4 linked regions of the Elephas maximus indicus genome follow. The protein of the gene in region 1 interacts with the protein of each later gene in a pairwise test. Links are inferred from orthologs where the notes say so. Each region holds a gene or a part of one and is shown in the gene's direction. Other genes may lie near its edges. The genes, in order: CDKN1A, BCCIP, TRIM54 and CCND2.

Region 1 (7,603 bases):
AAATGAATGAATGAATAGATGGATGACTATTAAAGAGAGGGCTCAGAAACAGGGGCACTGAAGCCTCACCTCAGAGTGTAGGCCAAAAATGGCCGTTGCATAAATATTCACTGAGTTCCAAGCTGAGGCTGCTAGGCCTAGAAGGTACAAAGATGAATAAAATATGAGCTCATACCCCCACCCCCAGGTTCCCAGCTCAGAGGATGCACTCAGCACGAAGACCAAGCATGCCAGCACAGCGTAGTTGAGAGGCTTGCACCCCAAGAGCGTTGGAAGCCAAAGGGAGCCCTAGAAGACCTCACCCCCAAGGGGCATGTGGGTTGGATCATGAAGGATCAGAAGGAGTTCAACAGGCAGAGAAAGGAGTGGAGGTGAGGTAGACTGGTCAGGGAAACCCATACCAGGAAGAGAGAACACTATGATCAAAGAGACAGAGGGGCCCTTTGCTCCTCAGGTGGCCTCTGTCCATAGCATTTCCTTGCCTCTTTCTAGTCCCTAAAGGAACTCTGGTGGTTACAGCGCTTGGCCGCTAACTGAAAGGTCAGCAGTTTGAACCCGCCAGCTTCTCCGTGGGAGAAAGATGTGGCAGTCTGCTTCTGTAAAGATTACAGCCTTGGAAACACTGTGGGGCAGTTCTACTCTGTCCTATAGGGTCACTATGAGTTGGAATCGACTTAGCGGCAACAGGTTAGTCCCTAAATGGTTAAGTCATTCACATTGTGCTGTGCCACCCAGAACCCCTGAAGGACCTGGTCTGGAGTGTTGGCTGTTAATACAACTGAGTCCTTCTTCAGGAATTGGCCTCAGATAAGGGAGTTCCCTTGCCACCCCTCTGTCCCCACAAGCCACTGGTCACAGTAGCCCCCTTGCTTCAATTCAGCAACTCTGCAGAACCACCCTAGTTCTGGAGCTTCCAGCGGGATCAGCCTTCACCACAGCCCAATTCCTCCTTCTGCTGGATCCTGTTTCCTTTACACCCTCATAGGTGTTGATCCTGAATGCACTTTCCAATAAACCTCCTGCATGAAAATCTCTGCTCAGAGTGTGTTTTCTGGGACACATACCAAAGACACTCACAAAAGTGCAAATGATTACTAAACTCCAAGGGATGCCTTCTCTCAGAGTGTTTGTCCTATAGCAGTAATCATAATTAAAATTTGTGAGGTGATTTCACTATGCTGAGCACTTTTCCTATACGATCTTATTTAACAAAGAACCAAATCTAAGTCAAAGGAATTAATTTCTAATGGCGAAATTTCAGGCTTTGGCTAGTAAGCTAGGGAGACTAGAAGTATTTGTATGGCACAAATTCTGTCACAATTTCTGTGCCTCTCTGTATGGTCAGCCCTGACCCTTGTGCTGGTTGCATAAAGCCCCCAATCAGGTGAGGGTGGGGGCTCCCAATCTCATTCTTCTTAAAAAAAAAAAAAAAGCAGGGCTTACTTATTCTGCTTGGTGGTGTAATATCTCTGCTCTGCTTCTTCTCTGGGGTCTCGCTTCTTGGGACTCTGTGTGGAGCTGAATTCCTCTGAAAGCTGGCTGTCCCTGTTTTGGGACTCCCCAGACCTCTTCTGAGAAATGGTGACATTATCCCCAGCACTTCCTCTCCTTTCCTGGGTAGCTCCTGCAGCCACCATGGGGCCCTCCTCACATCCTCTTTCCTCAGGCCTGTGCTTTCCACCTTTCCCTTCCATTATCTGGAGCCTGCTGGGTGGGGATGTGGGGTTGGCCTAGACCCTCCTGTCTTCTAGGCTGAGACTCCTTCCATCCCTAAGCTGCTTGCCTCCTGGGGAGCATGCCTGGGCAGCAGGCAGTGGCCCCCATCGGCCCTCTGGCCCTTAGGGACATGTCCCAACAAGTTGAGCCATGGCATAGAAGAGGCTGGTGGCTGCTCTCTATTTTGGGGTGGGGAGGGTGTGGTAGGAGATGGGGAACCCCCAGAGACCCCAGAGAGATCTTGGCCTTCTTGGTCAGAGTCTTCCTTCAGGGGCCTGAGTTTCACTGAACAAAAAATGTGGTTTGCAGTACACTCCAGAGAGATCTTGGCCTCCTTGGGTCAGAGTCTTCCCTCAGGAGCCTGAGTTCCTTGGAACAGAAAATTTGGTTTGCAGTAGATTTCTTGGGATTGGTCTGGGAACTGGCACAGCTGTGTGTGTGTGTGTGTGTGTGTGTGTGTGTGTGCGCGCGCATGCATGCATGCAAGGTGAGAATCAGCTCTTGTGACCTCTAACAACCTGCTCCTTTGCCCTCTTCAAGACAGAAATCCTCCCTTGAAGGATGTGCCTGGCTACATGCTGCAAACATTTTTTTTTTTTTTTTTTTTAACGTACCTAGTGCTAGACACTTAGTAGGTGCTTACTAAATATTTGCTGAATCCCATTATGGTGGTGGTGGGGAGCTAGAAGCTATTAAAAAATTCACTTCCCAATAACAACAACAAAAAGAATTATTTCATTGTGAATCTCAGTACCACAAAACTGTAAATAATTCAATATAAGCCTTCATTAAAAAAAAAAAAAATTCCAAAGTAAACAGACAGATAATGTCAAGTCTATCTGAAATGCCCGAAAGCTGGGGGGATTCAAGGCAGCTGGGGAATGTGCTTGTCCTCTATTGGACATTTGACAACCCAGCACTTGAGTGGTGTAGGTGGAAGGGAGGTGGGGGCAGGTGCTGGGGGGTGGCGGCCCTGGGACCTCAACTTCTCTGGGACCCTCCTGAGGTCCAGCGACAATTCTGGCCTGACTTGAGGTCCAGGCAGAGTTAGGGGTCTGGGGCAGCACCCTCCCACTTCTACAGGGGCTCCCATCCCAACACTAGAGGAAGAAGCCTGTTCCCTGAGGTCAGCTGCTTTAGAGGAAGAAGACTGGGCATGTCTGGGCAGAGATTTCCAGACACTCAACAGCCCGAGATGTCAGTAATTACAGCCCTTCCAAGAGCCTGGATTCTATTTTTTAATGGGATTTCTCTTCAGATTTACACTCCATTCTCTGCAATATTAAAAAAAAAATTTTTTTTTTTTGTGGTAAATAATAGGTAACGTTTGCCATTTCAGCAGTCTTCACATGTACCGTTCAGTGACACGTTCATCATGTTTTATAATTTTTTTTAAAGCACAAACTGCAAATGCATCAGGGGAAGGAAAGAGGCAAAGGTGGGGTGCAAGGGGGGCTAAGGTGTGAGGGTGAGTGGGAATGGCTGGACATCTCACGTGGCTCTGTATCTGTCAGAAACACCAGCGGACACTTCCAGAATTGTCTGGCTTTAATGTTACCTCAGTAAGCTGCCTGCAAATGAGGGGTCCTGCAGAGTCCCTCCCCCCACCCCCCATTCTAGAGTCACCGAAGCAGAGAAGGCAGCAGGCAGAAGCATGGCAGGAGGTAAAAAACCTGAGTTCCAGCCCTGCCATAGCCATTTATTTATTGTGTGACCTGAGTTAAATCACTTAGATTCTCTGGGCAACAATTTCCCCCACAGGAAATGTGAAGTGTGTGTGGGAATATCCAGGAGATAAATCACCAAATCCTTCTCCCCTTCTTTTTCTTTTTTTGATTTGGTAGTTGTGGCTAAGAATATACACCGCAAAACATATACCAATTCAACCACTTCTACACGTACAATTCAGGGACACTGATGACGGACTTTGAGTTGTGCAGCCACTCTCACCCTCCATTTCTGAGTTGTTCCCCCATTAACATAAACTCACTGCCCTCTAAGGTTCCTATTGAATCTTTCCAGTTGCTGCTGTCACTTTGATCCCATATAGGTACTTCTTAAAAGTGTGTAATGACCTTCTGCCCTTCTTAAACATCAAGTCTGCTGTAATCAGTGGTTTCTTCTGTTGAGGTGAGAAGCTGGGAGAGGAACAGGCGGGGAGGTTGGTTCCATTTTCCGATTTCCTGGAAACCGTGCTGGTCCTTCTGAAGTGTCCCCAGTTCCCTCTTTCTCTGAGGCACTTGACAAGCGCCAGCTCTGTACCCCTTAGGTTTACTGGGCCTGTTTCCTCATCTTGAAATAAAGCAGATCGAATTCTGTTCTGGCCTCAAGGATGCTTGTTAGGGTGTCTGGTTGCCCCAGCGTGCATCAAGGAGAGGTGGTCTAGTGAGAGCTCTGTGGGAATTGTGGTGGGATAGTGAGGCTTTTCTGGGAATTGCAAAGTGAGGTACATAATTTTTATTATTTATGGAATATTATTTATTAATGCCATTCCTTGTGATCTTTTCAGCTGTGATGGGTAAGTCCTTGCCTGGAGTCCGCCAGCGGGGGGCCAGGAAGAGGGAGGGGGGGTCCTCCTAACTACGCCGTCCTGGTCCTGCGAAGCGCCCACTCACTCTTCAACTGGAAAAAGCCGGGTTTGTGGCTCAATTCGTGGAGAAATGTGTAAAGCGCGCAAGCCCAGGAGCGACGGGACGCGCCTCCTGCAGCTCCCGAGGTTCCGAGACCTACAGTTGTCCCAGGGCCTGGAACCCCGCCCAGACTCGGGCGCGGAGCCGCCCGGGCCCCCGGGGAGGGCGGTCCCCGGCGCGGTGGGCCGAGCGGCGGGTCCCGCCTCCCGAGGCGTGCCTGAGCCGTGGCTATATATCAAGGCTGCGCCAGGCAGCACCAGCTGAGGTGTGAGCGGCTGTTGGAGTCAGTGGCTTGGACACCCGGAGCCGGGCGCGGATTCGCAGAGACAGCGAGCCACTCAGACGAGGTGAGGGAGCCGCGACAGACAAGAGCAGACCCTGGGCCGGCAACTCTGAGCTGAGTGTGTCTGCGTGTGTGTCCGGATGTGTCCGTGTGTGTGTGCTGCGTCTACAGTTGTTTCTGCGGCAGGTGAATGACAGGCGTGTGTCTGTGCGCTGGGCTTTGCGCGCACGAGTGTCTGTAAGTGCGTGTGACGGGGGTCGGGATGTATTGGGGCCTCAAGGCGGGAGGGAGGGCACCAGTACTGGGGATCCTCTGCCCGCTCTCTTCTCCCTGAAACTCTCCTGGAGCTAGGAAAGGCGTGGGTGGGGCCGTCCTCGGAGCTTGCGGCTGTAGGGTAGCCCCCCTGACCCCCCGTGCCGCTTGGCTCTCGTCGTGGTCCGGAGGCCCCGGCCGCCGCAGGCCGTAGGGGGACGCCGGGGGAGCGCTGAGCAGGTTAAAGTGGGCTCCGCCCCGGGGCCGCTCTCTGGCTTTCGGACCCAATTCGTGCCGCCAGGACCCAGGCCCGTGAGGTCCAGATCCCCGACGCCGCCGTGCCCGACACCCCTTTGGCGCTGAGGTCAGCGCGGGCTGTGTCCCCGGCCCTCGGGAATGTGCCAGGACACGTCCCTTAAGAACAAGAGAGGAGGTGACTCACGGTGACAAGGAGACCCCGGGGAGCGGGCCGGGTAAGATCAAAACCCCGCCCGGGCGGGGGGCGGGCGCCCCAGAAGCCTTCCGCCCCTCCGCAGTCTCAGTCCCCCATCAACACAGTGACCTACTTGGCTGGCACAGCGTGTTCCCGGGGAAGCCGGGGCACTGGAAGGTCCAGGACCTGGGGTCCGGCTCCTGCCGCGCGGCGCGGGTTCTCCGTGGGAGAAGCGCAGGGGTCTCATCTACCCTTTTCGCACCGCCGTCGGGAGAACCCCGCCCAGCCTGTCCTCGGGTTGGGACGCTGGACTCCGGAGCTGGAGCCGGAGCTGAGCCCACTCCAGGGTGGGCGGTGGGAGGGGGCGCATCTTTGCGGAGTGGGAGGTGGGAGGGGGCGCGTCTTTGCGAGATGGGGCTTCCGAGGGTTCAGATGCTGTCCAAGGCCTGTGTCTTTCGGGACTCGGATCCAGGGACTCGAGGCGCCCCCGGCATAGCCCCAAACTCCCTCTCCGAGGGCCAAAGAATTGAGCGGGGCAGAAGGGCGAATCGCGCTCGGGCGCAGCCACCCAGGGCGGACCACGGACCACTGGCACCATCAGAGTCACTTGGGGAGCTGTCTTGGGCGCCCGGTGGACCCTTGCACCCTTCTCGTGCGGAAAAGTATCTTGTTACTCGGTTTGGTACTTTGGGGCACCGGGGCAGCTCCCTCCCTGTCTCCCTCCCTCCACGTAGCGATTCGGGGAGGACTTTCGAGCGGTTTTATTTTCGTTGTTCCCGTCTATTTTTATTTTCCAGGGATCTGACTCATCCCGTGCTTTGGGCGTGGAGATAAGGTGGAGGGCCAGATCTTGGCGCGCCTGTGCGTGCGTGCGTGCGTGTGTGTGTATGTGTGTGACAGAGACGGCGCGAGAACGCGCGGTTTCCCAACAGCGGCGGGGGTTTCGGAAGCCGGGCCCGCTTAGAGTGACGTGTTCGCGGCCCCCGGCCCCTCCCTCGCAGTCTCCTCCTTCCCTACGCCAGGGTGACGCGCAGCAGGAGTGGAAGGGGGGTTTTGGCTGGCGGGAGCGCTTTGCAGGAAACTGACTCATCACAATTTGTCCCTCTCGCTGTCTAAGGCTCTGCCCACGCACCTCCCACCCTGCGCGTGATTTCCTGGAGATCAGCGCCCCCTCCCGGCCTTGTCTGGAATAGCAAACATCCCTTCCAACGGAATCAGGCTTCGCCCGCCTTTCCTTCCCGCCGCTACCCCTGGGCTGCTCCAACCTTGTTCTCCCCATACCGCCACTTAAAAAGAGTACCCCATTGGTTCAACAGTATTTACTGAGCGTTTACTATTTACCTGGGGATTAAAATATGGCTGAAGTGTCACACTAGGGTTTGGTCTAAGACACGCAGCCCAACGAGGGAAGCTCTTCTTCTTTGTAAAACGAGGGTTTGTGTTTTTTTCTGAGCTGGGAGTTATGATACTGGGCGTGAAAGCAGATTTTAATGGGGAAGGAGAGGCCCATAAGAGCCATCAGGCAACGAATGGTAGAAGGGGAGAGGGATCCTGCGGGACCCATCTTCAGCTCCTAGAAGCCGGGGAATATCCAGCTCACCGTAAAGCGGGCTCCTCCTCCTTGTGCCATTGGGTCGTGGAGACCCAGAATCCCCACTCCAGCCTTTCTGTGCGCCTCGCTGTCACCCCAGGGGAGCCCATCAGACCCTCTTGGGGAGCTGCACCAAACACTTGCTTGAATCCAGTCTGGATTAAGATGGTCTAGGGAAGGAGCACCACCAATGTGTGCTTTGAGAAAGCCCTCCAGGTAAGCCTGCTGGACATACCTGGTTAAGAAACTTCAAAACTGGAGAAGGAGCAGGGTGTAGGGGCTGAGAGCATAGAACTCAGGGCAGACACGCCTGGATTCAAATCTACTTGTATCCATTGTAACCCTGGGTATATTACTTAACCTCTCTGAGCCTTGGTTCCCTTTTCTGTGTAAAGGAGCTAATATATACGCATGTGCTCGGAGGATTAATATTTGTAAAGTGCTTAGACCAGTCCCTGGCACATAAAAATATATAAATAAATCTCACCCCCTGCCCTGAAGAGAGCCAACAAAGATTATTCGATGGATTTGCCCACGGCACCGTTGCCCCCTTTGTGGGACAGAGGCCCTTTCCTTTTTAACTGTGTGATTTCGGAATAAGTTTCATAGCCTTTTGAGCACCTGCCCTTTACACCCTCCCCAGTGAGCTGAGACTTAAAGTTGTTTCTCCCTGTTCATTGTGAGAGGTGGGGGGTGGG
Region 2 (7,240 bases), on another chromosome or scaffold:
GGCCTGACAGGCTCTGACTTATACTGTAACAGGACCACTTCACCGCCATTTGGAGAAGAGACTGAAGGCAGAAAGGCCTGGAAACAGGAGGCTATTACAACAGTCTGTGAGGAATGACGGCAGCTTAGACTAGCTGAAGTGGGAGCAGTGACAGCATTTGGATCTATTTTGAAGGTGGAGCCAATAGAATGCAGGGGAGAGAAAGAGAAGCCAAGGATGATTCTAAGGTTTATCACCAGGACAACTGGAAATACGGTCACATGTAGCATGAGATGGACAAGAACGAGGGAGGGGAAATCAAAAGATTCATTTCGGACATACCGTATTTGAAAATGCCCTTTTCTGCACCAAAGTGTGCCGGCCCACCTGTGTACCAGTGATGGGTTTACAGACATCCCTGAAGTTTTGATCCTCTCAGCTGAGTAGGCCCTGTGGCAGCCTAGGTTGGCTGGGTGGAATGGAAAAGTACTTGCACTAGGGGGCCAGGGTTCTGGTCTGGGCTTCTCTTCTCTGGGCCTCAATTCTGCATTTGTGAAATGGGCTGGGGACTCTGGACCGCTGGTTTTTCTGAGGGACTTTCCTCCCCATAGGAGAGGCTCAGGAAATACCTGTCCACTCTGAATGCTTTCAACCTCCCCAGCATCTCTGAACCAGGGAAAACAACCGCCTTTTCTCTGAAAACCAGGGAAGTGACTTAAGGCCACTTCACTGGTAAGAAGGAGTCAGGCCTCAAACCCACACTTTCTAACCTGACACAGCCTGATGATCAACAGTGACAGCAGCTATCACTATAGCGAGCACTTACTCTTTTGGTGTTTACTGGGCCAAACACTTCACATGCAAGGTCTCATTCTCACTTAAAACTGTGAGGTAAGTATCATCCTCATTTTACACCGGAGGAAACCAAGGCTCTGAGAGGTTTGCATAACTTGGCAAAGGTCACACAGTATAGAAAGTAGCAGAGCTGGGATCTGAATCCAGGTCTGAAGCCCAGGTTCATTTTCCTAACCACCTCTCTGCTTCTCTGAGCTAAAGATGAAGGCTGAGGCAGTGGATAAGCGATCTCCAATGGAGCTAAGTTCCTTGGGGTCAGTACAGTGTTTTCTTAAATGACAAAACCACAGGTGGGCCATTTTTCCACGTGTGCCGTTCTAATCCACAGTCTGACCATGTGCTCAACCCTGAGAACTACTCTGTGGACACAAAGTAAGGATGTTTTCGCCCTTCTCTTATGAAAGAAAAAAATTATCAAGAAATCCATGATCTCTGAGTGCAACTCTACCAAAAGGCCAGCATGGTACAGCCTGCCCTGTACATGGTAACCTACTCCAAACCCGTTGCTGTCAAGTCGATTCCGACTCACAGTGACTCTATAGGACACAGTAGAACTGCCCCACAGGGTTTCCAAGGAGCAGCTGGTGGATTCAAACTGCTGACCTCTTGGTTAGCAGCCGTAGCTCTCAACCACTGAGCCACCACAACTCCCTCTACATGGTGGGAAGGTGTTTTTGCATAGTTGGGGGACCCATCCAGAGCCCTGATGTCTAAGTATATTAATACCCATGTTGTGACCAGGTAGACAAGAGACTTCCAGAAAACATGGAACTCAAAGAACACAATCACGGAGACTCTGGGGTAACGGGGACCTTCAGGGATGCTGATGAATAATCACTGAGAAAAGGCCACTAAACTTCTGCTTAAACCTCCTGAGCAAGGGTAACCTCACTACGTAGAGGCAGCTCATTCCATTTTCAGACTCATACACATGTAACCCTTTCCTCATTTAGAGAAAAAAAAAAATGGAGAATCACAGACCCCATCCTCAGAAAGCTGGTGCCTTCCCTATTTTCTGCCAAGTAAGTCTTTAAAACAGGCTGCAAAGTGGTAGCCTGTGGGCTAAATCTAACTGGTAGATGCATTTTATTGGGCACAGGTTATATTTGTATTATATGTAAAAATCCATATTTCATGTAAAAATCCCTAACTCCAGCTTCTCTTCAAATGGAAAGATCCGACAAGATGAGGCCTACATTTCCACAGGGCTAAAACTGGCCAAAGGAGTTCCTGGGTGGTGCAATGGTTAAGTCCTCGGCTGCTAACTGAAGGGTTGGAGGTCCAAGTCCCCCCAGAGGCACCTTGGAAGAAAGGCGTGGTGATCTACTTCCAAAACGTCAGTCATTGAAAACCCTGTAGAGCACCGTTCTACTCTGACACTTGTGGGCTCACCAGGAGTCTGCTTCTGACACCTGTGGGCTCACCAGGAGTCTGCTTCACAGGAACTGTTTTTTTTTTGGTAACTGGCTGCAGTTGAGCAGCAGGTGTCTGTTGTAGACGGGCATACACGCTCCAGTTGGCCAGTCCCCTCCACTCATATCCACTGCAGTAGCTGATTCCATTCAGACTCACAGAGACCCTATATGACAGGGTAGAACTGCCCCACTGGGTTGCCAAGGCTGTAATCTTTGCAGCGACAAAGATGTGGCAATCTGCTTCTGTAAAGATTACAACCTTGGCGTCTCGAGTCTTAAACGCTAGCAAGCAGCTATCTAAGATGCATCATCAATTGGTCTCAACCCAGCTGGACCAAAGGAGAATGAACAACACCAAGAACACAAGGTAATTACGAGCCCAAGAGACAGAAAGGGCCACATAAACCAGAGACTACATCATCCTGAGACCAGAAGAACCAGATGGTGCCCGGCTACAACCGATGACTGCCCTGACAGGGAACACAACAGAGACCCCTGAGGGAGCAGGAGAGCAGTGGGATGCAGACGCCAAATTCTCATAAAAAGACCAGACTTAGTGGTCTGACTGAGACTCGAAGGACCCCAGTGGTCATGACCCCCAGACCTGTTGGCTCAGGACAGGAACCATTCCCAAAGCCAACTCTTCAGACAGGAATTGGACTGAACAATGGGTTGGAGAGGGATGCTGGTGAGGAGTGAGCTTCTTGGATCAGGTGGACACTTGAGACTATGTTGGCATCTCCTGCCTGGAGGGGAGATGAAAGGGTGGAGGGGGTTAGAAGCTGCCAAAAAGGACAGGAAAAGAGAGAGTGGAGGGAGAGAGCAGGCTGTCTCATTAGGGGCAGAGTAATTGGGAGTGTGTAGCAAGGTGTATATGGGTTTTTGTGTGAGAGACTGACTTGATTTGTAAACTTTCACTTAAAGCACAATAAAAATTGAAAAAAAAAATTGCAGCCTTGGAAACCCTATGGGGCAGTTCTATTCTGTCCTATAGGGTCACTACAAGTCAGAACCCACTGACCGAAACAGGTTAATCTTTATAGGAACAGATTGTCAGGTCTTTCTCCTGCTGAGCAGCTTAGCTGGGTGGCCTCCAACTGCCAACCTTACAGTTGGCAGCCACGCGCTTGAGCGCTTAAACGGTGCGCCACCAGGGCCCCCTTTAGATTATCCCACCAGTACCTTGAGCATTTAAGATTCACACATTCTTTTTTTTTTTTTTTTTTTAAACTTTCGGGCCAAGAATATGCATTTAAAGAGCGTCAGGGGATTCGATCCCGACTCACTGCATCACTGCCAAGTGTGTGCCCGGAGCTGTGCGGGGAGACACCGAGGGAGGCCCTTGCACGGCAGGGTCGGGTCTGACCTGCCCTGGGGAACCTGACAGGACAGGTGACCTTCCAGGCGGGCTGGACCGAAGGGCGACGCCTCGGGCCCCCTCCCCACTCTGTCCCTCACCCCTGCGGGCTGTCCTCCTCCGCACGGTGGGCGGTGACACCTACCTGGGGCGGGGGCACGCGTGGGCTGAGACGGGACCGAGCCCTGCGCTGCGCCCGCCACAAGCCGGAGCCCAGTCGGGGGCGCGCACCTTGCAGGCCCCAGGCAGAGGCCGCAGGTGCAATGGCATCGGTGGGCTCCGCGCACCCCGTGCCCGCGCCGCGGGGACACCCGGCACCCCAGCCCGCGAGTCCGGGAGCCCCTTTTGCTCAGCTGGGAGCCCGCGCGTGCGCGCCGACAGCCAGGTCACGGAGGGGGCGAGGCGAAGGCTTGGCGGTTCGTACCACTCTGTGAAGGGGCGGAGTAGCCTTGGAGGGAAGGAGAACAGAAAGAGAATTTGGCCGCGATAGAGCCCCCAAACTGCACTTAACTCTGAAATTACGACCGTGAAGTCCAGCCGAGGCGCTGGAGCTGGCGTCCACTCAGCCCTGAGGTTCTTCACCGTCTTCCTCCCCCTTCCTTGAGTGGTTCGGTCCGGAAGGTCGGGGCGGGGGCGGTGCGCAGGCGCGGTGCCTGGGGCGGCAACATGGCGTCCAGGTCCAAGCGGCGTGCGGTGGAGAGCGGGGCTCCGCGGCCGCCGGGCGGTCAGCTCCAGCGCGACGAGCAAGAAGAGGAAGATGGAGTCGAGGATGAGGAGGAAGACGAGGAAGATAGTGGCGAGGAAGACGACGAGGTCGTCGACGAGGTGAGCACCACGCGCTACCTCGGTTTGTTTATATCCGGGAAGACACTGGCTGTCAAAGCCACGTGGAAATTGAGCCGCCTGGAGGAGCGGCTTCCCCGTCCCTGAGGGTCTGGAGGCAGAAACTGGGGATGGTAACTGCTTACTGAAGTCCACTTCAGTCTTCTCTACACTGCAGCCACAGCCTTGTCATCCCACCCCCATCCCAGAGGGAGAACCCGCCACAACCACAGGCATGAGTCGTTTTCCGTAGTTCTCAGGCCGGAGCTCCAAATCCTTCCCAGGCCACCAAGGCCTGCAGAGTTTGTCGTCTGCCCACCTCTGCCGCAGCTCTGCCCCTGTTCCCTCCGCAGCTTCGGCCACACGGCCCGATTTCAGCTTCCTGAAGGCTTCCTGTGCCTTTCTACCCCACAGGCTTACAAAGGAGCCCTGGTGGCCAGTGGTTAAAGTGCTCAGCTGCTAACTGAAAGGTCAGTGGTTCCAAGCCACCAGCTGCTCCACGGGAGAAAGATGTGGCAGTCTGCTTCCATAAAGATCACAGCCTTGGAAACCCTGCGGGGCAGTTCTACTCTGTCCTATAGGGTCTCTATGAGTCGAAAAGGACTGGAGGGCAACAGTTTTTTTGTTTTTGGTATTAAGCATTCAGTGGTCTTAAGGGTCATCCAGCTCTAATTACGCATTCAACAAATATTAAGTACTTAATGCTAAGTATTATGGAGCCTTGGTCGTACAGTGGTTAAGTGCTCAGCTGCTAACGAAAAGGTTGGCAGTTTGAATCCACCAGCTGCTCCTTGGAAACCCTATGGGACAGTTCTACTCTGTCCTACAGGGTTGCTATGAGTCATAGTCAACTCGATCACAGAAGCTTTTGAATGCATAAAAAAAAAAAAAAAAGAAAAACCAAACCCATTGTCTTTGAGTTGATTCCAACTCATAGCAACTCTATAGGACAGAGTAGAACCTCTCCATATGGTTTCTAAGGAGTGCCTGGTGGATTCGAACTGCTGAACTTTTAGTTAGCAGCTGTAGCTCTTAACCACTACACCATCAGGGTTTCCTTGAATGCATAATAGGTACCTCAGACTTAACCTATCCAAAGTAGAACTTGCGGTCCACCCACCTCCTCTCCTAGTTTTCTGTCTCTGTAAATTGTCCCCAGATTCATCAGTTTCTCAAACCCAAATCTTGGGAGTTAACTTTAATGCCTCCCTTCTCCTCACCCCACATCCAGTCCATCACTAAATCCTGTTAGCTCCACCTTCAATACCCGCACACTTCTCATTGACTCTACAACCATCATTGCACATCATTGCTCAACAACTGTCTTTTCAGTGATGTCCCTTCTAAATTACATGTCCATTCTGAATCCTGTTTCCTTCTCTGTAAATTGGAACAAACATCTGCCTGACAGGGTAATTGTAAGGCGTGAGAGGACACAGCAGGCATGCGGGGTAGTGCCCAGCACATGGTAAACACTTACTGGTTTTTCCTCCAGTTGCTGTCCAGCTGACTCTGACTCATGGCAGCCCCACGTGTGTCAGAATAGAACTGCGCTCTGTGTAGGGTTTTCACTGGCATATTTTCAGAAGTGGGTTGCTAGGCCTTTCTTCTGAGCTGCCTCTGGGTGGACTTGAACCACCAACCTTTCAGTTAGTAGCTGAGCACATTAACCAATTATTTATCGTCATATAATAATGCTCTTATTTCATTTTACTTGGATCCACAATCAATGCCTATGGAAGTAGCAGTCAGGAAATCAAACGACATATTGCTTTGGGCAAATCTGCTGCAAAAGACCTCTTTAAAGTGTTAAAAAACAAAGATGTCACTTTAAGGCCTAAAGTGTGCCTGACCCAAACCATGGTATTTTTCAGTTGCCTCATATGCGTGTGAAAGTTGGACAATAAATAAGGAAGATCAAAGAAGATTTGATGTCTTTGAGTTATGGTGTTGGCAAAGAATATTCAGTATACCATGGACTGCCAGAAGAGTGAACAAGGAAGAAATACAGCCAGAATGCCCTTTAGAAGCAAGGATGGTGAGACTCCATCTCATGTACTTTGGACATGGTATGAGGAGGGAGCAGTCCCTAGAGAAGGACATCATGCTTGATAAAGTAGAGGGTCATTGGAAAAGTGGAAGACCCTCAACGAGATGGATTGACACCATGGCTGAAACAATGGGCTCAAGCATAGCAAATGTTATGGATTAATTGTGTCCCCAAAAAATGTTTATCAGCTTTGCTAGACCAAGATTCCCAGTATTGTGTAGTTATTTATCATTTTGTGATCAGATGTGATTATCCTATATGTTGTAAATCCTAACCTCTATGATGTTAATGAGGCAGGATTAGAGGCAGTTCTCTTAATGAGGCAGGACTCAGTCTACAGGATTAGGTTGTACCTTGCGTCAGTCTCTTTTGAAATATGAAAGAGAGAAGTGAGCAGACAGGATGCCGACCACATACCCCCAAGAAAGAAGAGCCAGGAGAACAGCACGTGTTTTGGACCCAGGGTCCCTAAATTGAGAAACTCCAGACCAGGAGAAGACTGATGACAAGGACCTTCCCCAGAATCAAAAGAGAGAGAAAGCCTTCCTCTGGAGCCAGCACCCTGAATTCGGACTTCTAACCTCCTAGACTGTGAGAGAATAAATTTATCTTTGTTAAAGCCATCCACTTGAGGTATTTCTGTTATAGCAGCACTAGATGACTAAGACAGCAATGATGTGAAGTTGCCACAGGACCAGGCGGTGTTTCAATCTGTTGTTCATGGGGTCACTATGAGTCAGAACCAACTTGACAGTACCTAAC
Region 3 (7,907 bases), on another chromosome or scaffold:
ATTGTTTCTCCTTGGTAATAGGAGATCTTCCAGATTCCTGACCCAGCCTGTTAAGGAGCTGGCGCCACCCTAGTCTTCTAAACCCATCAGTGAGCTTGGACAAGCCCAGGGCTGTTGCCTTAAGGCAGTAGGAGCCCTGGACAAAATGAATCTCTTCCCACAACATAGGCCTCTCCTTGTGTAGCCTCTCAAGGAGGTACGGTGTCTGGAGGTCTGTGTAGCTGAAGGACACTGAGAAATTTGAGGGGAGGATGTTTCGTCTTTAAATTTTGCATTTGAGTGCCTTTTCTGGGCAACTGCACGCTCCTGCTAGTCACAGATCCCACTCACTGTTGCCTTATACTTGCCCCACTGTAATCAGTTACATGCCTAACCCATGAAGACGAATTCCCTGTCACTGAAAGCTCACTTCTTCACAGCCTCACCTGTGAAAGTTACCACAAATACTTCTGCTCTGGCCCAGATTATGGCTCATATGGATGAAGCAGCCCGCCAGTTGTCTAGAAGTGGGAAAAGCCTCTATGCAGTGCTGGAGCTTAAGAAGGGTGCCTCGCCTGATGAAGTAAAAAAATCCTACAGGTTCAAATCTCAGCCCCTTATTTAACCCTGGAATTTTCCCCCTTAAACCCTTTTCTCTCTACCTTGCTTTCTAAACCCATTTCTAAAACTCTAAGCCTTCACTTTGGGGCCAGATGGGGCCAGCATCCTCTTCAGTGTGGCACAGGAAGGAATTTAGACTTTCGCTGCTTGTCCCCATCCCTTGTACCACATCTCATGCATTCCTTCTGTACTCTCTGAGGCCCATCCCTGTAATTCATCCTAACCTTCCCTCCCCAGCCATCCCCCATCCCCTCTCCACCCTCCTTTATGGGTATTGCCTGGGTAGGAAACTGGCTTTGAAGTATCATCCAGACAAGAATCCAGGAGATCCTCAAGCAGCAGAAATATTCAAAGAGATCAACACAGCCCACGCCATACTGAGTGACCCTAAGAAGCGGAAAATCTACGACCGACATGGCTCATTGGGAATATATATATATGATCACTTTGGCGAAGAAGGCGTCAGATACTATTTTATAGCGAATAGTTGCTGGTTCAAGGTACACAATTCTTCCTAGTCCCTAAAGACCAAGGAAGGAGGGCCAGTTGACCCTCCTCTCCTAGGACAAATGCATCTGTTGTCCCATTTTCTGGGTGCTAGGAGGATTCAGGGAGGGAAGCTTGGATGGCAATATAGAAGGGACTGCTGGACTGAGACCATTCCCTCCTGCTTGTAGACACTTGTCCTCCTATGTTGCCTGCTCACTTGTTGCTGTTTCTGTTGCTGCTGTTGCTTTTGCTGCGGAGCACTTAAGCCACCACCTGAGGAGGCAGCTAAGAGAAACAATCAACAAAACGTCCGGAATCAGCCTTCGAGATCAGGTGAGAAGGATAGGCAGGAACTGAGGTAAGATCTGAGGAGCCCTGTGGCACAATGGTTAAGTGCTTGAAAAGTTGGCAGTGTGAACCCACCCCGTAGCTCTGCAGGAGAAAGATGTGGTGATCTGCGTCTGTAAAGATTACAGCCTAGAAAACCGTTTAGGGCAGTTCTAATCTGTCACATGGGGTCGCTAGGCCTTGAAATCAACTGGCACCTAGCAACAACAGCGAGATAAATCTGGATTAAGAATGAAAGAAATAGTTGGGGGTGAGAAAGCGCTGTGAAACTGTGAACCCCTAAGTAAGTGAAGAAGAGGTGGATAAGATCTGTTTCTGAAGGGCTTATGCCCCCAAATGACAGTTTGAATGTAGTGTTGGCCTCTCATGACTATTAAGCTAAGGAATGGGGTGGGAGAGTAAGCCTAGAAAATGCAGTAATTGAAAACAGGTTAGAGGCTGCAGTTTATTGCATTTACTCAAAAGGAAAATGAAATGTTTGAGATTTCCACCCCAAGTAGTTAAACTTTAAAACTGTGGGTTGACTGAAGTTTACACATATTGCCACCTAGTGATGCTAGTGAGTAACTGCAAGGTAAAGATTTTCTCGCCACCAACCAAACCAAACCCCTTGTCGTGGAGTGGATTCCGACTCATAGCAACCCTATAGGACAGAGTAGAACTGCCCCCATAAAGTTTCCAAGGCTGTAATCTTTACAGAAGCAGACTGCCACATCTTTCTCCCACAGAGCGGCTGGTGGGTTCAAACCACTGACCTTTTGGTTAGCAGCCAAGTGCTTAACTACTGCACTACCAGGGCTTCTTATTTTCTCACCAGTAGACTAAAAAATTCTTGCTAAGTATTTATATATTTGTTTTTCAAATTCCATTATAGCAACCCAAAGTAATTTTAGAAGAGGGCAAGATTCTGTCGATGAAGATCATTATTAAAAGATGCGGAAGAGTAAGGTATGAAAACTGAAAGGCAAAAATAATTAAAGGATAAGGAAGGAATATAGATTAACCTCAGATAAGTGATTAGTGGAAAGTTTATATCCTTGTAGTATTGACTACAAGTGTTTATGATCTTACTCATAGGGGGTTTGCTTTAAATTCAGGGTGACCATTCCTTCTGATTAGTAAGATGCCAACATCTTCTCCCCATAGGTGCTGACCCAATGAGGGTGCCTTTTGCTGCCCAGTCCACTGGACATGTTGAAGAGAAGAGCAAGTAGGCTTGTCCTGACATTGAACCTGATTTGACCCCTCTTCTTGTAAGAATTCCAACTTCAGAAGCACTGATGCTGTCCATCCCAGTGAGGATACCATCTCTGCTCTTAATAGTACCACCAACCCCAGCCATACAGGGTTGCCCAGCTACTCTTTTTTAGCTCCAGTACCAATGTCAATCTGTCAGAGAGCAGCTCTCCCATCCCTACCCTTATGAGGCCTCAGGCAGTGGTGGCAAACTTTTCCTGAAGATTGTTTAACCTGTGCTTTCCTTGGGATTTGACTGAGTGTCAGCTGGTCGGGTCCCTGAGCCACTTGCGATATCTCCACCAAGATCCTGATGCCTGGGCAGGGTGAATCCCATCCCTGGAGCTGCTGTACCAGCTAACCCTCCTCTCTTACAACTCTGTGTACCAAGAACTCCTTGTGTCAGCCTCATTCTTAAGCCACTACAGCTTTCTGGGAGTAGTCTCACCTTCTTCGGGTGCCCATGCCCTTGGCATTGCCCACCACATTCCATGTCATGTGAGTCAACCCAGGAGAAGTATGAGTGTATTTGAGGCTTAGGAGTAGTCATCCCACCTTTGGTTTCTCCCTGGACTTCAGCTACCAGCACAGCAACCATTAATATTGGTCCTGTAGGTTGACAGGAGTTCACACATCAGTGCTTGCTTGCCTCCATCCTTTCTACCACATCTTATAGAGGCTCATTACCAGGTATTTTATTCTTAAAACAAGGGCATGAAACGTGATAGGGAAAGGACTGTTACAGACCCTTTCCCCACATGTGCCTCTTTGCTCTGCCTGTTTGGCATCTCCTCCACACCATTTATTCCCCATACACCCAGGGTCAGAGCTTAGTAACTCCTGAAACTTCTCTCCCTTGACTGAGATAAGGGCTAAGAAATGTCAGTAAATAAAGAGCTTTTGTCCAATCCCAGTGCGTTTTTTTTTTTTTTTTTTTTTTTGGCCGGGGATAGGGGGCTGGGGAGACAAATTGGGCCTGGGATAAAGAACAAAGCGTGTAGGAGAAAAAGATAGGGGGCCAGTGTTCAAACCTGGGACCAGCCTGGCCTGGAGAGGAAGAGTCCAGGACAACTGTGGGGTTGGGGCAGAAGCTTCCTGGAGCCTTGTGATTATGTATTTTGTCAGTGCTCTAAAATTTCCCTGGAGACTGTTTCCCTTGGTGTCCAAAATAGGTCCCTGGCATTCAGGTCCTTTCTGCCCACCTCACCTTCTCCCAATTTCCTAACAAAGTTAAAGGTCATCAGAGTTCTTCCTGTGAGGTGTTCATGGACCAGAATCTTACACTTTCACAGGGGCATTCTTGTAAAGGCGTTCCAGGCCCTGGCACAACAGCCACCTCTGACCTCTTTAGCTCCTTTTCCTAGGGTGATATGAGAAGGGGCTGGGCAAGAACAGAATGAACCAGAAATGTCTCTCTAGTCTCTGATGCCTCTGTTCTGAATCACGGGGTCTCAAGGAGGAGGGCCAGGGTCACTGGCTAAGTCTGTGGAGGAGGAAACTGTCACTGACTGTAGGTCTGGCGAGAGTTGTCCTCCCACCCTGGGACTTGCATAGTGCCTTTCACGCGGGCTAATTTAGAATTCTGTGTCACTGCCCTGGAAGAAGAGCCCAAGCCAGAGCATGGAGGTCAGGGGCTCACGGGAGCCTTCTGAGGGGAAGCAAATGAGAGACTGACACCTCTGCTAGCATACCCTTCACCATAAGCAATGAAGCTCACTCCCTGCTGTTGCTCAAGGGAGCCACCCATTCCTGAGTGAGTCAGGGTCACTCACTCAATGACAGCTGTGGCTCGCCTTACATGAGCTAAATTGGGAGCTGGAATGACATACAGATGCCCCTTGCCTCCCCACCCCCATGTTAAAGTTAATCTCCTCTCTGTGGAGTGAGGGACAAACAGTGCTGCCCACAGAGTGAACAAGAGAAAGTCGTTTGAGAAACAAAAGGAGAATTTTCCAGGGACAGAGGGAGGGATAGATTAAGCTACATGTGCCTGGCTAGGGCATAGAGCAGAGAACAGGGTGAGACAGAAGTGTCTGGAGACAGCCATCTAAGGACGAGGCAAGTTGTTAGAGGAAGGACAGGAGAGATAGCAGAGCTATTTCAAGAGTGAGCAACAGAAGGGAACATAAGAATCTGCAGACTGTCTAAAGTAAACGAGGAAGGGTCCAGAGTTAGTGAGAGAAGGCCAGGACCAGGGCCAAGGCCAGGGCAGGCACGATCGCTGAGGGGATGAACTTCGCAGTGGGTTTCAAGCCGCTGCTAGGGGATGCACACAGCATGGACAACCTGGAGAAGCAGCTCATCTGCCCCATCTGCCTGGAGATGTTCTCCAAACCGGTGGTGATCCTGCCCTGCCAACACAACCTGTGCCGCAAGTGTGCCAACGACGTCTTCCAGGTGGGCTCCCCGGGCGGGGGTAGGGACGGGTGAAGAAACATAGACTTGCAATAAGACTTCGAGCCAGGTCAGAGCTGAGTCCCGAGAAGGTGATGGGTACCATGCTGTGTGAGGTGGGTGGTGGCTGTTGTGACAGAAGAGCAGAAAAAGGGCCTGACTCCTAGCAGGTCCCAAAGTGAGCATGAGTCAGCAGCTGCGCCGTAGGCTGGTGGTGCAGCCTATGAAGTACAGCAGCTGGAATGCCAGCACCTACAGAGGAAAGAAGATCCCATAGAAACTGGGAGGGAGGTGATCCCACACCAGGCCCTGTCACAGCCTGTGACAGACTGCACTCCAGTGTGGAGCTTCAGATTTTGAGAGTGATATGGAAAATATGGGGAGAAGATCAACAAGATAATAAAATATTTAAAGATAAATCCTGTGAGAAAAGGTCTGTGATGACAGAGAAACTACTTGTATTTAAGACAAAGCTCAGTTCCCTGATTCTGTGGGGGCAGTGTTAGACACAGTGGGAATTCTCCCCAGCTTATATCCATAACCTGTGCTCTGCTCCAGAGTGTTCAGTAAAGAGGCCTACTGGTGAAAAGCATTGAGGTCACTTGACTTAAACAGAGAGAAGGGAGATAAGAAATTTTACTTTCCATAACTAATCGATCTCACAGATACCATTTTAGCCACTGGTTTCAAATATAAAAGCAGCATATACCAGAGTGGTTTATAAGTGAGCTTTCTTTCTTGCCCTGTGCTACACTGGAGTACTAGTAAGCTATGAAATGGAACAAAGATCAGAGAAAGTGAGAGGGAAAGACCTGGATACCTTGCAAATGAAATAACTCTAAATAGGCCAGAGCTGGCTTTGTATGTATGACAGTGATAAGGAACTTCACGAATAAGTTCTTCATCTGTATCAGAAATTATGAGGAAATGTGTTGAACACAATTGATTTTTAACTTAACCAAGAAAATGCTTCCCTTTTAAGTTCTTTGGGGGCAAAGAAGGGCAAACTAAGATGGGGCTGTCCTGCAGCTGTGCCCTTGCCCGTCAGCTGTCTGCCATCTTTCCTTACCGCCTAGCAACCTGCAGTCTCTTTTACCGTCTTCTCATCGAGGCCTATTTCCATCCCCTATTCCTCCAAGTGTCCAAACCTGCCATTATTTGGCTCTAGAGTACAAAGCCAGAAGTTTTTCCCTCTGTTGGGGTGTAGACTCCTATGCCTGCTCATCCCGGTCATCAAGTCATATAAGAGAGGCAACTTTGTCCACTATCCTGTTTTTTCCCTTGGTCTAATTTTGAACATTCTTTAGACTGAGGTGCCTGGTGGGGGGGATGGCAAAAATCTCATGAATTTATACTGAAACACCCCTCATTTGAACCTGAAATATGTGAAAGCAAAAAGAAGTTTTGAAAGCTAAAGTAATGTGCCCTTTAAAAAAAAGTGGTCAGGATATTAAAGTACAAGCCACACAGTAATTGTGTGGTGGGACCCAGGAATAGGTCACATACATGGAGACTAGAAGATGTTTAAATGACCTCTGTTGTTCCAGTTGGTCTTCTGTACCCAGGCACACTGCTTTGGTCCCATGAAGCTCTAGAATACTGATGTGGGCCCAGAGAGAACTGGGGATGGTTTGGGTTTGGGTCCAACACTGTACAGATTATTTGGGAGATAATGTGATTCCAGGCTTCGGGATGGTTCTTTGGGAGTGATGTGGAACAGCCCCTGGGCCTTCCAAGAAGATAAGAGTGAACAGCTTGTTTCCTTCATGTTTTATTTGGGAAGGCCTGGTGGGAGGCTGACCCAGTTCTTCAGCCACACTTATGTATATACATCTCAGTACATCCCCCTCTAAAAGATGAACATATTTAGTTTTTTCACACATTGCCTCCACATTTTGACAACTCGGCACAATCAGATCGTCTGTTTTCTGAGTATGGGGATAAGAATAGGGCTTTTGGTTCCTCTATATAGGGTTGCTATGACTTAGAATTGACTCAACAGCAATGGGTTTTGTTTTGTTTTGATCTTAAAACTACTTAGGAAGAACACCTTAGAACATTGCCTGGAAAGTTAACAGGACTCATTATTATAAAAGTTAAAAAGTGACAATCATATATTTTTAATAAGCAATATACATATACACATACCTTTTTTTTTTTTCAAATAATATAGGAGTTTATATCATGAAAAGTGAATCTGCTACTCACCTCAGACCCTCAGTCTCCTTCTTTGGATAGAGGTAACCATTCCCAGCTTTCTTAGGTGTGCTCCCAGAAATTTTCTGTGGAGAGGTACATGTTTGCACTTATGTATTTATATACGCATATTTAAACACAAATAAGAGCATACTAGACTCATTGTCTTACACTTGGCTTTGTTCACTCACTCTCAGCGATTGTTCCATCCCCACACATTCAGATCTGTGTCTTTCTCTTTAATGGTTCTGTGGTTTTCCCTAGTTACGGCTGGACCACAGTCTATTTTAGCAGTCCTCTAAAACATTGTCCAGTGTTTTGCTGCTCTAAAAACTGCTGTGATGGACATAACGCTCTAAAGGCTTCTGTGAAGCAGGAATTTTGGGGAATTGTGATTTTATAAGATCAGGTTAACCAGAGAGCCAGCAAACAAGATTTGAAAAGATAAAAGCATTTAATTGAAAATATTGTACAGTATTAAGGGGATGGGAGGAAATCATATTTTTGCCTTTTACTTCAAGTCCCTGTCCCCATACATAACATATTTTGACCTAGTTGCCATTAGAATTTAACTAGTTTTCTTTGGAGCCGTAATGCATCTCTGTTTCTCTGAATTTAAACTGAATAAAACACAAAGCACCGCC
Region 4 (7,486 bases), on another chromosome or scaffold:
ACGTCAAAATTCCGCGAAAAAGCCGCGTGGTGGCTCCCCGAGCGGAGGCGCGAGTCCGCCGCCCAGCGGCCCCCTCTCGGGGGCGCCCGGGGGAGGGCGGACGGGCCAAGCGGCCGCTTCCTTCTCTTCCCGGGAGGCAGGGCCCCGCCGACGCCGGCAGCCAGACGCCCCCCGCCCCAAATCTTTTTGGAAAATTCACTTTATAAAACAAACGCATTTCCAGGGCTATTTTCGGTCTTGTGAGGCGTGTCCTGAAGCTGAATCAGACAGGAAGAGGGGGAAGTTCGGGTCTTTTTAGTTCCCGCCGCCCCCGTCCCCTGACGAAGGGGAATTAGATGCTAGGTGGGTGAACAGACGGCAGGCGCTGCGTCTCTGACCCACGCCTACCGCATCTGCTGCCTCAGGATTACGCACGCTCCAAGCTCAAGTACCCCAAACCCGCAGTTTAAATAAACAGGCTGTTTGGCTCTGACCCCCACTGGATCCTGAGCGTCCCCGAGATCCGATGGGCAGGGGTCCGGGGTTGGAGGGTCTCCCCCCCGCCCCCCGAAGCGCGGAGCTCGGGATCTCGGGCCGCAGGTTCACACCTGGAAGCTCATTGCCGGAGTCTCCCGGAGCCTCGAATCTCCTGCTCCCCACCCACCCTCCTTCTTTGCCTGTGCTTTTCGGTTCCTCGCCTTTCGGTCTTTTCCTTTCTCACTTTTTTTTCCGCCTAATTTGCTTTTATTCCTTCCCCATCACCTCCCAGTTCTCTTTCTGTTCCTCCTCTAGTTCCGTCCCCGGCTCTCGGGCAGTCAGGAACTGAGGCAGGGGGCCCTTCACCATCTACTTTTAAATGACCGTCGGGTTTTTCTGTTTTCAATTTTCTGACCATCCATTCCTCAATGGATGAAACACAAACGCAGCTTTATTCTTTGGAAGAGTTGGGGGAGGGGCGGTGGCCCCCGTTCCTGCGCCTGAACCCAACTCCCACCAACCTGGCCTGAGCGCCTCTGTGCAGGGGCGGCCAGATTCGAACCCGCGCAGCTCCTGAGCTTTGAGCCTACCGCGGGATCACCTGGCTGGCTCGGCATCTGCCAGGTGAGCTTGGGAGTGTGTGTGCTTAGCTTGCAGGTTCCTGCAAAGATGTGCCTATAAACACCCAACACCCGGCTGCACCCTACACCTACAGGGTTTTGTACACTTTCCAACCGAAACTCCGAAACGCGAGCAGTGGGGGCTGGGGAGCCCGCGAGGAGAGAGGGAATAAAAGTCCAATAAAACTTGTGTTCGCTAAAGTTTATCACCGATCCTACAAGGACAGGTGAGAAAGGGATAAGGAAGAACCAACATTTTTTTTTCCCCACAGTGCCCAGTTTGAGTTCAAAGCCAGAGCAAAGGCGCTTGCACTTTTTCTCTAAACCTGAGTGTACACTCAAAGAAAATGAGCGCACGTTTGCCCAGGAGGCAACGTGCCTTTTCCCGCGTGCTAGGCGGAGTGTTTTTTAACAAGCAAAATTCAGGTTTTAACACATGGTCTAAGTGGCCAGCAAAAGGGAAAACTCAATTTCCAGTCCAAGGTTCCTGGAGAAGCTCCTGCCAACCCCCGCACCCTCTCACGCCCCACCCCACATGTTAAGAGACTGAAAAACGACAGGGGGACGGCTTCGAAGCGAGGTTAATGTTCGGGAACAGCCCGCAATAGGAAGGGGAAGTGAATGGGGGAACTTAAAGAGGCTTTCAAAAGTTGAGCCTGCCTCGCGGGAAGCGCCCGAACTCGCGGGTCTCCAAGAATGAAGAGGGCCGCCGGAAGGGGGGCATCCACCCCGACGCTCTCCGTCCCTCCCCTCTAACAGGCCCCAACGCCCCCCCTCCCCGGAATTTCTCTGTAAAGCTAGACGGGGGTGGGGTAGGGAGGGAGAGAAGGGGCGAGAGAGTCCTCGGCTCACTCGGAGACTGGAGCACTCGCCACCCAGGCTTTGTCCCCGGGGTGGGCGAGGCCCTGGGGACGACCACCCGTCTCTTCCCCAGGCCCCCTTCAGGGAACCCTGAACTCAAAAGGCTTCCGCTGCAGGGAGGTGGAGAAAAAGACCGTGCTTGGTTAGTTATCAAGTGATGTCAAGAGCCTGAAAGCTCTCTTAGGCTTCTGTCCTTGCCTGTCGGGTTAGATTTATACTTTAAAAATACCTCTCTCAACCTGCACCTTCTCCCCCTTCCCGCCCCAGCAGCTTTCTTTGATCCACTCAAAGGTGGCTGAGGTGACGTTTGAGTAATTCCTTTATGGGGTCTTAAAATGTAAGTCAGTGTATTTATCCGGAGTGAGTCAAAAGCTTAAGTCGGGAAGTCCAACTTGACTAAAATCAATAGGTGATTGTGAGGGACCCGACTGTATTCCTGTGAACACTGTACTCAGCCCGGGTGTCATCCGCTGCGCGGAACTGTTTCATTTTGAGTTTGCAACTTGGTTTTTTCAGTGTTATTTTTTTTTTTTTTCTTCCCGAAAGCTAATGGCTTCCACAGCAATTAAGACATTTTTCTCGCCCGCCCCCGTCCCTCCCCTTTCTTTACAGACAGTAGATCCGATACTAATTCCCGCGGCTATTGATAAGGTCGCAGACGCCCCAGCTTCTCTCCGGCCCTCTCCCGCCCCAGTCCCCGCTCTCCCTCCGCCCTCCCTTGGCTTCCTTTTGATGTAGCGGGGAACGCGTCCTACTAAAAAAAAAAAAAAAAAAAAAAAAGTAATCTGCCCGGTAACAATCAGCGCGCAGTAGCAGGAGCCCCAGAGCTATTGGCTATGCAAATAGAGGGAGGGGAGACGGCGCCCCAAACTCTTACTCACCCTTTTAAAGCGATATCCCCCCCACCCCACAACCACCCACCCCTTCCGCCCCACCCTGGTTTTAAAGAGGCTGGCTTCGGGGCCTGAGTTAATCGCCTGCACCTCTGGTATATTCTTTCCCCGCCTTCTCTTTTCCACCTCCCCTCCTCCGCCTTTCAGGGAACCTTGTGAACAGCTCACCCTGCCCGGCCTCCCTACCCACCCACCCCCGCCTTGCTCTCCTTGTCCCTGGACCGGCCCCCATTCTTGGAGAAGGAGGTCCTGGGTCCACCTCCTTGTGTCCAGAGAGCCCCAAACCACGCCAAGCTCACTGCACGTGCCAGCTCGACCAACAGGTTAGGGGCGCTGGGCTCACTCCTTTTCCTCCCAAAGTGAAAAGCACTGCAATGCAGGGTGGCGGGAGGAAGGAGGTAAGGAAACGCCACCATCTCCTCTGTAAAAACAGCCTTGACCCGAGGGTGCGTGTGAGCACGTGTCAGAGCGGGCTGCGCTGGCAATGTCTCCACCGCAAACCCGTTCCCCGGGAGAAAGCCCTGGTTGGCGAGTGAGGCGTGACCCCGGGGAAAGCGGCGAGGATGCAGGCGAAGGACCTAGGGTAGAAATCTCGGGCCTCTGAGGAAAGGAAGGGGTGGTGTTGTTTGCGCAGGGGGAGAGAGGGGGAGCCAAACCTAATCCCTCCCTCGCCCCCTCCCCTCCCCCCTCCCGGGCTATTTCCTAGAAAGCTGTATCAGTGTGGCCACGCTCGGCACTGACACCTCGGGCGGCTTGTCAGCAGATGCAGAGGCGAGGAAGCGGGTTTTTCTTGCGTGGCCGCCAGCCGCGGAGGAGCCGCTGGTAGCCCTGCCCCCGGTCTGCAGCAGCCCTGGGCCCATCACTGCGTCCTCCACTGACTCCGTTAGTGCCCCAAGAACAGGAGTTTTGCTCAAGGGTCATATTGTATCTCTTCGGAGAAACAGCCCCCCCCCAACGCCAACCCCTTCCTCCTCTTCCTCTCCACGCACGTCTGGAGGGGGGGGTGATGCCCTTGTCCCTTTAATCAGGCTTTTCAAATGGCTTCGAGATGACCAGAACATAAACTTAAGGTATATGACACATAAGTTTCATCTCAAGTATGCGTGGTTGCTATTTCATAAAATCACTTCATTACTTTTATGAGATCAATTTCTCAATTGTCTGTTCCTACCCCATGTCCAAGTAATCTACCCGCCATTCCTGGATCTTGACTACAAGGGCGGGGGTATTTGGACCAGTTTTGAAGAAGCCCAAGTTGGAGGATCGCATTTTGGTCTGATATACCTACAGAGAATGTACGACACTGGAGGGCATACATAGGAATCGGTCTTTTTGTGGGTTCCCCTCTTCGGGGCCCCTGGCATGCGGGGCTGGATAGGGGGAGAGGGCCTCGGAGAGCTAAGGAGAGGGGTAGGGGGGCGGGGGACCGCGTTTGAAGTTTGGTCGGGCCAGCTGCTGTTCTCCTTAATAACAAGAGGGGAAGGGTGGGAGGGAAGGAGGAGGAGGGGAGGACCGAGAGGGGAGGGAAAAGGAGGAGGAACCAGAGAGGGGAGCGAAGCGAGAGGGAGGAGAACTAACTGCCCAGCCAGCTTGCGTCACTGCCTCAGAGTGCAGAGAGAAGAGCGAGCTGGGCAGAGCGAGACAAATTTGAAGGGGAGGGCAGGCGCGAGTTCAGCAGCCCCCGGGGCTCTCCTCTCCCACCGCCTATCCCTTTCCTCTCTTCTCCTCCAGCTTCTCTCTCTGCCCCGAACTTTCTCCCGAAAACCCTCTATTTAGCCAAAGGAAGGCGGTAAGGGGATCCCCCTCCCCTCCCCCCTCCAAAAAAAAAAAAAACTTTTCCAGTCGGAAGAGAGCAGGGGAACCAGTGCGCGCCCGGCTCGCCATGGAGCTGCTGTGCTGCGAGGTGGACCCGGTCCGCAGGGCCGTGCCAGACCCCAACCTGCTCTACGACGACCGCATTTTGCAGAACTTGCTCACCATCGAGGAGCGCTACCTTCCACAGTGCTCCTACTTCAAATGCGTGCAGAAGGACATCCAGCCCTACATGCGGAGGATGGTGGCCACCTGGATGCTGGAGGTAGGGACGTAGGCAACGCTCTCTAGGAACCATGTTCCCACCCCGATTCACAGCCCCCACGCAGGGACCCTGAAACTGGACAGGGTAGTCTCTGTACCGCCCTCCCCGCTCTTGGGCGCGAGGTTATCCCGAGCCCTTTGGTGGGACGCGTGGCTTCGTTTCGGTTTTTTGCTGGATGCGAGATTAATTTGGGGGAGGGGGAGAGGAGAGGTGAGGAAAATCCGGGAGAAACAAGGCTGTCCTGGGGCGGGGGTGGGGGAGCATCCCGCGCGCGTGTGCCTGCATGTGGCTTCCTCTTCTTCCCACCCCCATCCCGACCTGCCTTTTGCGAAGCAGTGGCTGCTTTCCGTGCGGTGAAGAAGGCAGTAGGAGCGCGACATGGGGACCCACAGTAAAATGTAGCCCCCCAAAATGCCAAAGCAAATTCTTCCTAGCTTCGGGTCCCCGCGTGTGGTCGCGACTCCGCGTTGGCACTTAAGGGGGGGGAGGGAGGCGGGAGGAGGAGAGAAACGGGGAATTCAGGAGCCCCGGAAGTCACATTGAAGAAACGTGTGTTTTAGGGGAACCCAAAAGAGCCACTTCTTTACCCTTGCTCCAAATCTTTGCCGAGCAAACTGTGTGCCCACGTATGCACAGCTCTGGACCTGCCGTGGTTTCGCCATGTTGCTTTGCAAAGTCCGATTGGAAAGTCTGGAGACGTCGCCCGCTCCCCCTCGCACCCTCGTATCCCGGCCACCCCATTTCTAACCTTGCCCTCTCCTCCGACCCCCACCTCACGAAGGTTACTTACAGTTTGGCTTTCCTGCTTCCTCGGTGCGGAGAGTTGGGTGGGGTAGGAAGGGGGGGAGGAGGTGTGTGTGGGGGAGGATATCGGGGCACCCCTAAATGAGAGGTCAGATCCCCCCGTGCCTCATTCCGGATGCTTCCCGGCCCCCGTCTTTTCCCCAGCTGGTCACCACGCTCCCTAGTTTCTGCCCTTGTGGGCCGCAGCCGGACACTCCCGCCGCGGCTCTTACCCCTTCAAGTTTTCCCCCGGGATCCAGAGCTCCGGGGGTCGAGATACAGACCTTTCCGGCACCCGAAACCTCCGTTTTGGGAAGTCTAGCTCCTCCTTGGGGTTTTCACGCCGAAAGGGCTTTTCTAGGATATTTTCTCGATTTTTAATTATTTTTTGAAACCGTCCCCCCTGCTCCGACTCCAGCTGCCGAGGCTGCGGCGCTCTTCCTCTTCTCCCTCCCCCTCTCTTCCCCACCTCTCCCCACCCACCCCCCCAATAGCGGCGCCTGGGCCGAAGGGACCCCCGCCGGCAATTTTTCCAATTGTCGGGAATGATAGAGCAGGGTCTGGGGGACCGAATGGGACCAAGCACGAGACCCCTGGAGCTTCCAGAATATTTTTATTGATTTTTTGAAAAGATGACGAAATCCAAAAAAGAGTGAGTTAGAGAGTGAGCAACGAAGTGAGTGGCTAAAGGGAGCGTCGTGCAGCCACCGCGCGATTCTCTGACTCCCCGCTTTGGATCTTTAATTCACCCCGTTTTTTAGGCTTCCGAGGAGTACTCGAACTTGGATGGGCTGTTTAGGTTTACCCCAGTTTCTTCATTTTTATTCTTGTCACGCAGTCTGCCCCCTCCCCCTCCCCACAAAAATTAAATATTTTTTTGTTTTTGCCATAGTTTTTTTTTATTCTTCTTTTTTCTGTACTATTTTTTTCCCCTCCCAACCCGTTCCCACTCCTATTGTAGGTCTGTGAGGAACAGAAGTGTGAAGAAGAGGTCTTCCCTTTGGCCATGAATTACCTGGACCGGTTCTTGGCTGGGGTCCCGACCCCTAAGTCCCACCTGCAACTCTTGGGTGCTGTCTGCATGTTCCTGGCCTCTAAACTCAAAGAGACCATCCCTCTGACAGCCGAGAAACTGTGCATTTATACCGACAACTCCATCAAGCCTCAGGAACTGCTGGTAATGACTGCTCCCTTCCTCCCTCCCTTGCTGCTCTTCACCCTGTTTACTCCTGGCCTAAGGTGCTTTCTGCCTACTCCTTCCAAAACAAATTCTCAGGATCCCAAATTTCCCCACCACTAGAAGGTTCACACTTTTTTCACATGTCTGTTTTTTGTGTTCCTACTGTGTTGCTGGGCAGTGTTCTAAGCACAGAGGCTACGTGGACAAATGAGACCAACATGGAGATTTGTGTTGGTGAGATTCGTTTGTAATTGTGTGTGTGTGTGTGGAGGAAGGATGGAGTACAAGGATAATACTTCAATTAAATTCACATTTTCAGTCACTGAATTCTGAGAATGTAGTCTGACATCTCACAAGATAAGGAATGTGCTTACATAATAGGAATGTGTTGGTTTGTCTAAAAACCTGGAGCTTAAAGCTAGTGTCGTGTATCTGTCTAGTCTCAGATAGTACGTGCGCATAGTAGCTGTACAGTAAATATCAGCTCATTAGCTTTTGAGCAAAATCAAATGTTAGCCTTTCACTAGAGGAGTCCGAGGCCTGTGCCTGTACCTCTGATGGGGTTGTGACCTCTGTACAGTCCTGGTGGTCCCATCTTGCCTCTAGCTTTCTGCCA

Evidence for each region.
Region 2: the proteins of CDKN1A (region 1) and BCCIP interact in a two-hybrid assay, tested with the Homo sapiens proteins (2 studies listed by BioGRID, with this or other methods). The link is inferred for Elephas maximus indicus from reciprocal best matches to the Homo sapiens genes CDKN1A and BCCIP.
Region 3: the proteins of CDKN1A (region 1) and TRIM54 interact in binary tests that used the Homo sapiens proteins (3 or more experiments, as listed by UniProt). The two-hybrid records come from large-scale screens. The link is inferred for Elephas maximus indicus from reciprocal best matches to the Homo sapiens genes CDKN1A and TRIM54.
Region 4: the proteins of CDKN1A (region 1) and CCND2 interact in binary tests that used the Homo sapiens proteins (3 or more experiments, as listed by UniProt). The link is inferred for Elephas maximus indicus from reciprocal best matches to the Homo sapiens genes CDKN1A and CCND2.

Annotation. Positions count from the first base shown.
Region 1 is NC_064819.1:100,349,762-100,357,364, forward strand, and holds the start of CDKN1A (cyclin-dependent kinase inhibitor 1), read left to right. Parts: upstream 1-4,602; 5' UTR 4,603-4,693; intron 4,694-7,603. UniProt on the Homo sapiens protein: Plays an important role in controlling cell cycle progression and DNA damage-induced G2 arrest. Involved in p53/TP53 mediated inhibition of cellular proliferation in response to DNA damage.
Region 2 is NC_064834.1:75,789,263-75,796,502, forward strand, and holds the start of BCCIP (BRCA2 and CDKN1A-interacting protein), read left to right. Parts: upstream 1-4,232; 5' UTR 4,233-4,272; coding exon 4,273-4,431; intron 4,432-7,240. UniProt on the Homo sapiens protein: During interphase, required for microtubule organizing and anchoring activities. During mitosis, required for the organization and stabilization of the spindle pole.
Region 3 is NC_064830.1:45,785,238-45,793,144, forward strand, and holds the start of TRIM54 (tripartite motif-containing protein 54), read left to right. Parts: upstream 1-4,902; coding exon 4,903-5,070; intron 5,071-7,907. UniProt on the Homo sapiens protein: May bind and stabilize microtubules during myotubes formation.
Region 4 is NC_064822.1:60,743,786-60,751,271, forward strand, and holds the start of CCND2 (G1/S-specific cyclin-D2), read left to right. Parts: upstream 1-4,482; 5' UTR 4,483-4,712; coding exon 4,713-4,907; intron 4,908-6,651; coding exon 6,652-6,867; intron 6,868-7,486. UniProt on the Homo sapiens protein: Regulatory component of the cyclin D2-CDK4 (DC) complex that phosphorylates and inhibits members of the retinoblastoma (RB) protein family including RB1 and regulates the cell-cycle during G(1)/S transition.